Oryctolagus cuniculus: one gene and its partner. The protein of the gene in region 2 binds, or shares a complex with, the protein of the main gene of each other region. Links are inferred from orthologs where the notes say so. Each region holds a gene or a part of one and is shown on either strand. Other genes may lie near its edges.

Region 1 (4,079 bases), on a different chromosome or scaffold from region 2:
CACCGAGCACTCGGGGCAGAACTCCTCACAGGTGCAGTCCTGAGCGGAGAGGGAAGCTGGAAGGAGCCCACGGAGAGCCGGGAAGCCCCACAGCTGCCTGCTCGGCCCGCTCCCTGAGCCGCTGCCTGCGTGCAGGGGGTGCTGCTCTTGTGAGACAGCGCCCAGCCCCTCTGCTCCTTGCCCGCACCTACACCAACCTCTGTGCCTCTGCCCCCCGACCCCGGGGCAGGGGTGGTGGTGGTGCTGTGGAAGCAACAGCCCCTGTGCTGCACAGGCAGGCCCCCTGGTGGCTGCCCCTCTGTGGGACTGGCTCCTGAGACTTCCAGACGGACATAACCAATGGGATCCTCATCAGCACCAAGCCCAAAGACACCTGCCTCGGGCTCTGGACAACATCTCCGCCGTCTCCCTACAACCACGGCGCAGTCCATGCTGGCAGCCAGATGCCAAGGACAAGTCCTGTGGGCCCTTAAGCCCCTACCCGAGCCACACACAGCCACTCTCGCAGCATACCCGGGAGTTCTGCAACTTGTCCACGATGTCGTCGCTCGTGAGAGGAATCAAGCCTGTAAGACACAGACCCGCGCTTTCAAGGCAGCCAGACAGCCATGCCCAAAACGAGAGCCCACAGGCGCCCCGCGGTGGGGAGGCCTCCTGCGGCATCGGCCGCACCGTCCCTTCACCTCCCCCAGAGCAGCACTCACCGAGCCGGTGCGCGATGAACTCGTCATGCAGGACGGAGGAGTTGGCATCGATCTGAACCCAGTCAATGGCTAAAACGAGAAGGGGCGGAGGTGAGACTTCATTCAGCAACCAAATTCCCCAAAGCTCAGGGCAGTGAGTGCCAAGATTCAGGAATGCCCGGGCCGGGCCAGGCCGGGCGGCCGGGGACTGACTGCAGCAGCACCGGGCAGGGCTCAGGCACCACGCAGGCACCGCGGCCCCTGCCCGCCCGGGGGGGAGTTCAGGCAGGGGCTTCCTGGACCACACGGGAACGCCGGCTCAGAGCGCCTCACCGCAGCAGGCACACCTGCTGCCGATTTCTGTGAGAAGCCAATGTATCTGCCACCTGTGCCAGTGCCAAACAGCCAGGAACACAAACGATTCAGCCACTGCGATGAGGGAAACTCACGAACAACGAACAGGCCGACAGCAGGAACCGCGTCTTAGGATGTAACGCTGGCCCACCCAACGAGCATTTCCTCATCACTCAGCCGACACAGGTTACTGCGTCCTGTCAGGAACCAGGCAGCTTACAGAGAAACCGGTCCTTGCCAGCAACGAGCTGGCAGCACGGTGAGGACTGTCTCACACCCACGTGACTTCAACCCCACTTTACTCACTCATTCATACAAACGCCGAAATCAAACAGGGCTGCTGCCCAGCTGCCAGGGGGGGCATGGCCGCTGGGAGCAGAGGTCAGAAGGGGACCAGTCGTCTCAGGCCCCAACCCAGGCCCCTCTGCCTCTTCACGTACCCCCGGACCCCGGCTGCTTCCTGGCCCGCACTTTCCTTCCTCGTGCAGCTCCAAATCCCCCGAGCCTAAAACCCGAGTCCCGCCTGCGCTTCAGACTGAGCCGTGAGCACCCCCGGCCTCTGAACCCCGCTCGGACAAGGCCAGCTCTGACTCCCCTTAGCACAGCGGTCATGCTTTGCTCAGTGTCGGATTTGTGTCTCATCCCCACCGCAGGCTTGGAGAATTCCTTGAGGCCGGGTCTGAGCTGCCTTTGTTTGCCCAGCATGGGTGCGCATTTGCAGAGCTGAGAATGTGAAAAGCGGGGCCCACCGAGGCCCAGCGGGGCTGAGGCGACGGGGGGCGGAGGCGGCGGCTTTAGCAAGCAGCTGGTGTGTGCCGCTTCCTTCAGAGTCTGAACACTTGATGCAGCAGCCACAACATCTCTTTTGCCAAACGCAAACTCACTGAGCTGACACAAAACACCCCTGGTATTTTACACAAGCACAGTCAACGCAGAAAACACTGGGGCACAGAGGCCAGAGGCCCTCCCACCCCTGCGGGCCGCTGCTGCGAGGTCCTCGAGCCCCGTGCACATCCATCAGAATCGCTCACTCACTGGTCCCCGCCGTCGGCCTGGTGAGTAACACCAGCGTCCAATGTCTCCGATGAGAACCAGCAGCACACAGAAGGGTCACGACTTGCCTAAGTTCCACCGAGCGCGCGCGTGGAAACCGCATCGGAGCCCAGGGCAGCCCCTGCCGAACCCGTGCTGCTCCGCGAGGCACACGGCAGGGGGGCCGAAGTGGCCAACGGGGCAGCCGGGCCAGAGGCACCGGGTGCGACCCAGCCTCGGCACCTCCACCCCCAAGCCAGGCCTGGAGGCGGCACAGGTGCGTGGGGCCTTGGGAAGCCGGGGAACCAGTGGTCCCGGTAGGGTGCGGCGGGGCTCGCTTACCTATTATAGGCACCTCCGCGATGAAGACCCTCCGGATAGAATTGGCCACCCTGAAGGACGAGAAAGCGAGAGGCGTGAGGGCGCCGCAGCCCCGACAGGCCGGCCCCGGGCTCCCAAAGCTAAAGCCCTGGCACGGTGGCCGCCGTGGGAGGGCACCCCCACCCTTCGGGCCGGCTCGGCAGGGCCGCCAGCCTCTCCCCTCAGCAGCCTTACGCCAGGTCCGTATTCTCGATGATGAACTTGACGTTCTCGTCAGTGAGCTCGGTGATGCGCACCGTGGGCTGATTAGCGTACGGCATCGCGCCCCTGAGGCCTCCTAGCCGGCCCCTCGCGTCGCCCCCGTCGCGCCTGCGCGGCTCTGTCACCGGAAGCCGGACAGCGCGGCCCCCGCAGCTTCCGCCGAGACGCGCGAGCAGCGCCCCCTGCCGCTGGGAGGCTGCGGCTGCACCATGGCCCGCATTTTCTACTCCCCACCCCACCACCAGTCTCACCCAACTTGCAAGGTAACTTGGCAAGACCTGCATATGCCCTTGAATCAACAATAATACGTCTAAAAATTCATTCTGCCAAGATGTTTGCAGTTGTAAACAAAGCTACAGGGACATTCAAGACAGTACTGTAATAGCAAAAGGTAAACAAGACTGGTCTATGCATAGAGACCTGGTTAAATAGATACATATAGGCATACCATGAGGCCTTTGAGGATGATGTGAATTTGAACACCCATGGGAAACAATGCGTGGCAACTTTCAGCAAAGCATCTCTCAATGATGGTGTATGTCCTTCCCTTCCACCCTCAAGTCCGGGTCGCGCACTTGTGGACACTTCCGTAAAAGGCTCTAGAGACCCTAAAATGGAATGTGGCTGCAGTAGAGTACCCAGGAAGGGGTTCACCTTAGCAGCAGGCGCACCTCTTCCTGAGACACAGGAAGGGCAGGAGGCGGTTCTTGCCTGCCTGTCATCTCAGTAGGTTAAGAATTACGGTCATCTCCTGAGTGTAACATGGATGTGATGAATGCGATGAAACGTGGGTAGCTGCTGCAGGAGCCTCACAGGTATCAGGGAGTAACCAGAGAGGCGCGGGGCCCGGGGAAGGCCCACAGGGATCTGAAATGCGTCCACTTCTGACTCCTCTATCAGTATTTGGCAGACGTGGGCCAGAGCAAAGCAGATGTGCAAGGGAGCCCAGGTGGTGCACAGGCTGAGATTACTGACACTGACGAACCTATCACTAAAATGGTGACAGACAAGAGGGGCCAAGGGAGCAAGGTGTCTGGGGAAGGCCCCACTGCCCCCATTTTACTGATGGGAAGACCTGGTTCAGAGGCAGAGTTGTCCAACCCCCCAGCATGTATTAGGCAGAGCCAGGGCCAGAACTCCCGCTGGGGACATCTATCACAGTCTATATGGAAACAAACTACATAAAAGGAAGCAGCCTCAAACATTTATTATAATTTTTACAGGTTCTGAATACACTAACAATCCCGCAGTGCGTGCTGGAGTGATGCGACACCAGGCCTGGGCCACGCCTCTCAGTGTCCAGCAGGCACCTGTCTCTGGGGAGGCAGCTCTCTGAGGGGTCCCCGGGAACATCTCAGGATGCCTGCAGCGTGCTGGCAGTGAGCTGCCACCATCCGGTGGATACCAGCCTTGACTCAGCCTTAGCAG
Region 2 (3,500 bases):
AGGGAGAGACAGAGATAGGTCTTCTAACTGCTGGTTCATTTCTCAAATGGCTGCAACCACTATCTCTGGACCGATCCAAGGCCGTGAGATTCTTCTAGGTCTCCCACCTGGGTGCAGGAGCTCAAGCACTTGGGCCATCTTCCACTGCAGCAGAGAACTGGGTCGGAGGAGGGGCAGCCGGGACATGAACGGGTGGCCATATGTGATATCTGCTCCGCAGACAGAGGCTCAGCTTGCTAGCCACAGCGCCAGCCCTTCCCTCTTTTTTTTTTTTTTTAAAACGATTTATGTAGTTGAAAGGTTGAGCAGCAGAGGCTGGGTGGGGTGGATGGTGGGGAGAGATCTTTCATCCATTGGTTCATTCCTGAAATGTCTTCTGTGGCCAGGCTGAAGCCAGGAGGCAGGAATTCCATCCTGGTATCCCAGATGGGTAGCAGGGACCCAAGCACTTGGGCCATTTTCCACTGCCTTCCCAGACATTATTAGCAGGGAGCTAAACTAAAAGTAGAGTGGCTGGTACTCAAATCAGCAATCCAGAATGGGGTGCTTATATCATATGTGGTGTACGCCCAGTTTGGTATTTCTTGCTATATTGGTATAGTAACATGACTTGGGAAATTATAGTTCTTTATTATTAACCATAGTAAAATTGCTTATCAGTCTAGATTTGGAATCCTCTTCCATCACAAATATCATCTTAAAAAAAATCACATCGGTTGGTCAGACATGTTTGTGAAACAAGTACTAGGGATAGAGGTATCTGGCACAGTGGTTAAGACGCTGCTTGGGACATCCATGTTAGAATGCCTGGGTTTGAGTCCCAACTCTGCTGTCTATTCCAGCTTCCTGCTAATGCATACCTTGGAAGGCAGCAGGTAAGGGGAATAACAACTGAGAAAGTTAAGAAAAAAAAAAAAAAAGAAAACCTCACAGTGAAGGTTACTTTTTTTTTTTTTTTTTTACTACATGATCTGTGCTTTGCCGCATTTACAACAGAAGAGCAGCAGATAGCAGTTGAATCATGGTGTGTGAACATTACTTGAATCAGTGAAATTTCCGTCAGATTTCCTATTTATGCCTGTAGAGCTTGATTGCTCCCCTAAGTTAACTGACACTGTAAGGGGAAGTTGGGGGATATAATTTGGAAGGGAATTGCTGACATTCTCGTTCCCCTGTGTTCCCATTTGTGAGGTGTATGGTTTACCAGTTATAAAAGCTCTCCTCCATTTTGCAGAAAAAAAGAGGTGATCTTAGCAGCATGAACATAGTCCTACTTGTGTGCTGCTACTGCTTGCTGCTAATAGACTTCTAATGAAACTGCTAGCATGAACTCAGTAATGACCTGTTAACCATAAGCATTAGTACTTTGTGAAGTTAAAACATTTATTTCTTAATATCTTGATTTTTTTTTTTTGTAACTTTAGGGTTTTGTGGAATGCTGGTTGAGAAGCCCTATTACAAGCCATTATGCTCGCAGGCACCGCTGCTCACTAGGCTAATCCTCCACCTTGTGGCGCCGGCACACCGGGTTCTAGTCCCGGTTGGGGCGCCGGATTCTGTCCTGGTTGCCCCTCTTCCAGACCAGCTCTCTGCTGTGGCCAGGGAGTGCAGTGGAGGATGGCCCAAGTCCTTGTGCCCTGCACCCCATGGGAGACCAGGATACGCACCTGGCTCCTGCCATCGGATCAGTGCGGTGCGCCGGCTGCAGCATGCCAGCCGCACGGCTATTGGAGGGTGAACCAATGGAAAAAGGAAGACCTTTCTCTCTCTCTCTCTCTCTCTCACTGTCCACTCTGCCTGTCAAAAAATAAAGAAAAAAAAAAAAAAGGCAAGCCATTATGAAAACGTATGCTACGGCCAGTGAAGTAGCAATGCTTTTTTTTTTTTTTAAATTGGCGCCGTGGCGTAGTGGGTAAAGCCGCCACCTGCCGTGCCGGCATGGTTCAAGACCCGGCTGCTCCACTTCTGATCTTGCTCTCTGCTATGGCCTGGGAAAGCAGTAGAAGATGGCCCAGGTCCTTGGGCCTCTGCACCGGTGTGGGAAACCTGGAGGAAGTTCCTGGCTTTGGATTGGCACAGCTCTGGCCATTGCAACCAATTGTGGAGTGAACCAGTGGATGCAAGACCACTCTCTGTCTCTCCTTCTCTGTGTAACTCTGCCTTTCAAATAAATACATAAATCTTTTTAAAAAAAATTAGCACATAGAGAACATAGCATTAAACATCTGAACAGTAGCATGTAGGATGCAGTTTACTTAGTGAATTGTCTGTTAATGGCCACTAGGGTTATTTCTAATATACATATATATTTAAAGATTTATTTATTTATTTGAAAGTCAGGGTTAAACACAGAAGGAGAGGCAGAGTGAGAGAAAGGTATTCCATCCACTGGTTCACTCCCCAATTGGCCGCAATGGCCGGAGCTTCCTCCGGGTCTCCCATGTGAGTGCAGGGGCTCAAGGACTTGGGCCACCTTCTACTGCTATCCCAGTCCATAGCAGAGAGCCGGATTGGAAGTGGAGCAGACAGGTTTCAAACCCGTGCCCATGTGGGATGCCGGCACTGCAGGTGGTGGCTTAACCCACTACACCACAGCGCTGGCCCCTCTAGTATTTTTCTTGTACAAACAATATTGCAATGACTTTTAATCACTTTTTTTGTGCTGTGCTGGCATGTTTATAGGGTAAATTCCTAGAAATAAGATTGCTATGTCAAAGGATTTAGTTAATTCACACTGCCAAACTGCTCTCTAGGGTTGTACCAGTTTATACTGTTATCAGTAGTCTTTGAGAAAGGCATTTTCCTCTAGCTTCACTAATAAAATTGGCAGACATTTGGAATTGTTCAGCTCGAATAAGTGAGAAATATCTTGGCAAAAATTGAGTGTCTTTTCATATGTTTAAGATCGTTTGTATTTCTTTTTCTGTCATCTGAGGATTCGTCTCTTTGGGTATTTCCTTGTTAGGTGTTTGGAGCTCTTAAATATTAAGATTAGCTCTTTGTGATGTGAGTTGCAAATGCTTTTTTCTTGTTATATGATTTTTTTATTCTATCTGATTTCATCATCAGTGCTTTTAATTAGTATAATTTTACTGCCTCAAATAATACATGTTCTATATTCCTGAAAGGATTTATTTATGGGTAGCTTTGATTTAGTGTATCTAGCATTTTAAAACACTGACAATGATTTCTTCCCTCAATAGACACGACATCAGCGAGGAGACACACATCCTCTAACTTTAGAAGAAATTTTGGATGAAACCCAGCATTTAGATATTGGACTCAAGCAGAAACAGTGGTTAATGACTGAGGTAAGAAAAGGCTTAAAATATAATAAAAATAATTGGTTAATAACCAGGAGATATTTTCTTTATAATTTTTTTAAATAATATTGAAATCTGTGCTTTTTTTTTTTTTTTTTAAGTTTTATTTATTTAAAAGGCGGAGTTAGGGAGAGACAGATTTTCCATCTGTTGGTTCACTCCTCTGATGGCCGCAAT

Evidence for each region. The genes of interacting proteins can lie anywhere in the genome.
Region 1: GTF2E2 (region 2) and POLR2C share a complex: the UniProt entries of both Homo sapiens proteins name them as parts of the TBP-based Pol II pre-initiation complex. The link is inferred for Oryctolagus cuniculus from reciprocal best matches to the Homo sapiens genes GTF2E2 and POLR2C.

What each region holds. Positions count from the first base shown.
Region 1 is NC_091449.1:41,014,813-41,018,891, reverse strand, and holds the start of POLR2C (DNA-directed RNA polymerase II subunit RPB3), read right to left. Parts: upstream 2,801-4,079; 5' UTR 2,711-2,800; coding exon 2,625-2,710; intron 2,462-2,624; coding exon 2,412-2,461; intron 774-2,411; coding exon 705-773; intron 567-704; coding exon 514-566; intron 40-513; coding exon 1-39. UniProt on the Homo sapiens protein: Core component of RNA polymerase II (Pol II), a DNA-dependent RNA polymerase which synthesizes mRNA precursors and many functional non-coding RNAs using the four ribonucleoside triphosphates as substrates.
Region 2 is NC_091433.1:80,641,711-80,645,210, reverse strand, and holds part of GTF2E2 (transcription initiation factor IIE subunit beta), read left to right. Parts: intron 1-3,203; coding exon 3,204-3,311; intron 3,312-3,500. UniProt on the Homo sapiens protein: Recruits TFIIH to the initiation complex and stimulates the RNA polymerase II C-terminal domain kinase and DNA-dependent ATPase activities of TFIIH. Both TFIIH and TFIIE are required for promoter clearance by RNA polymerase.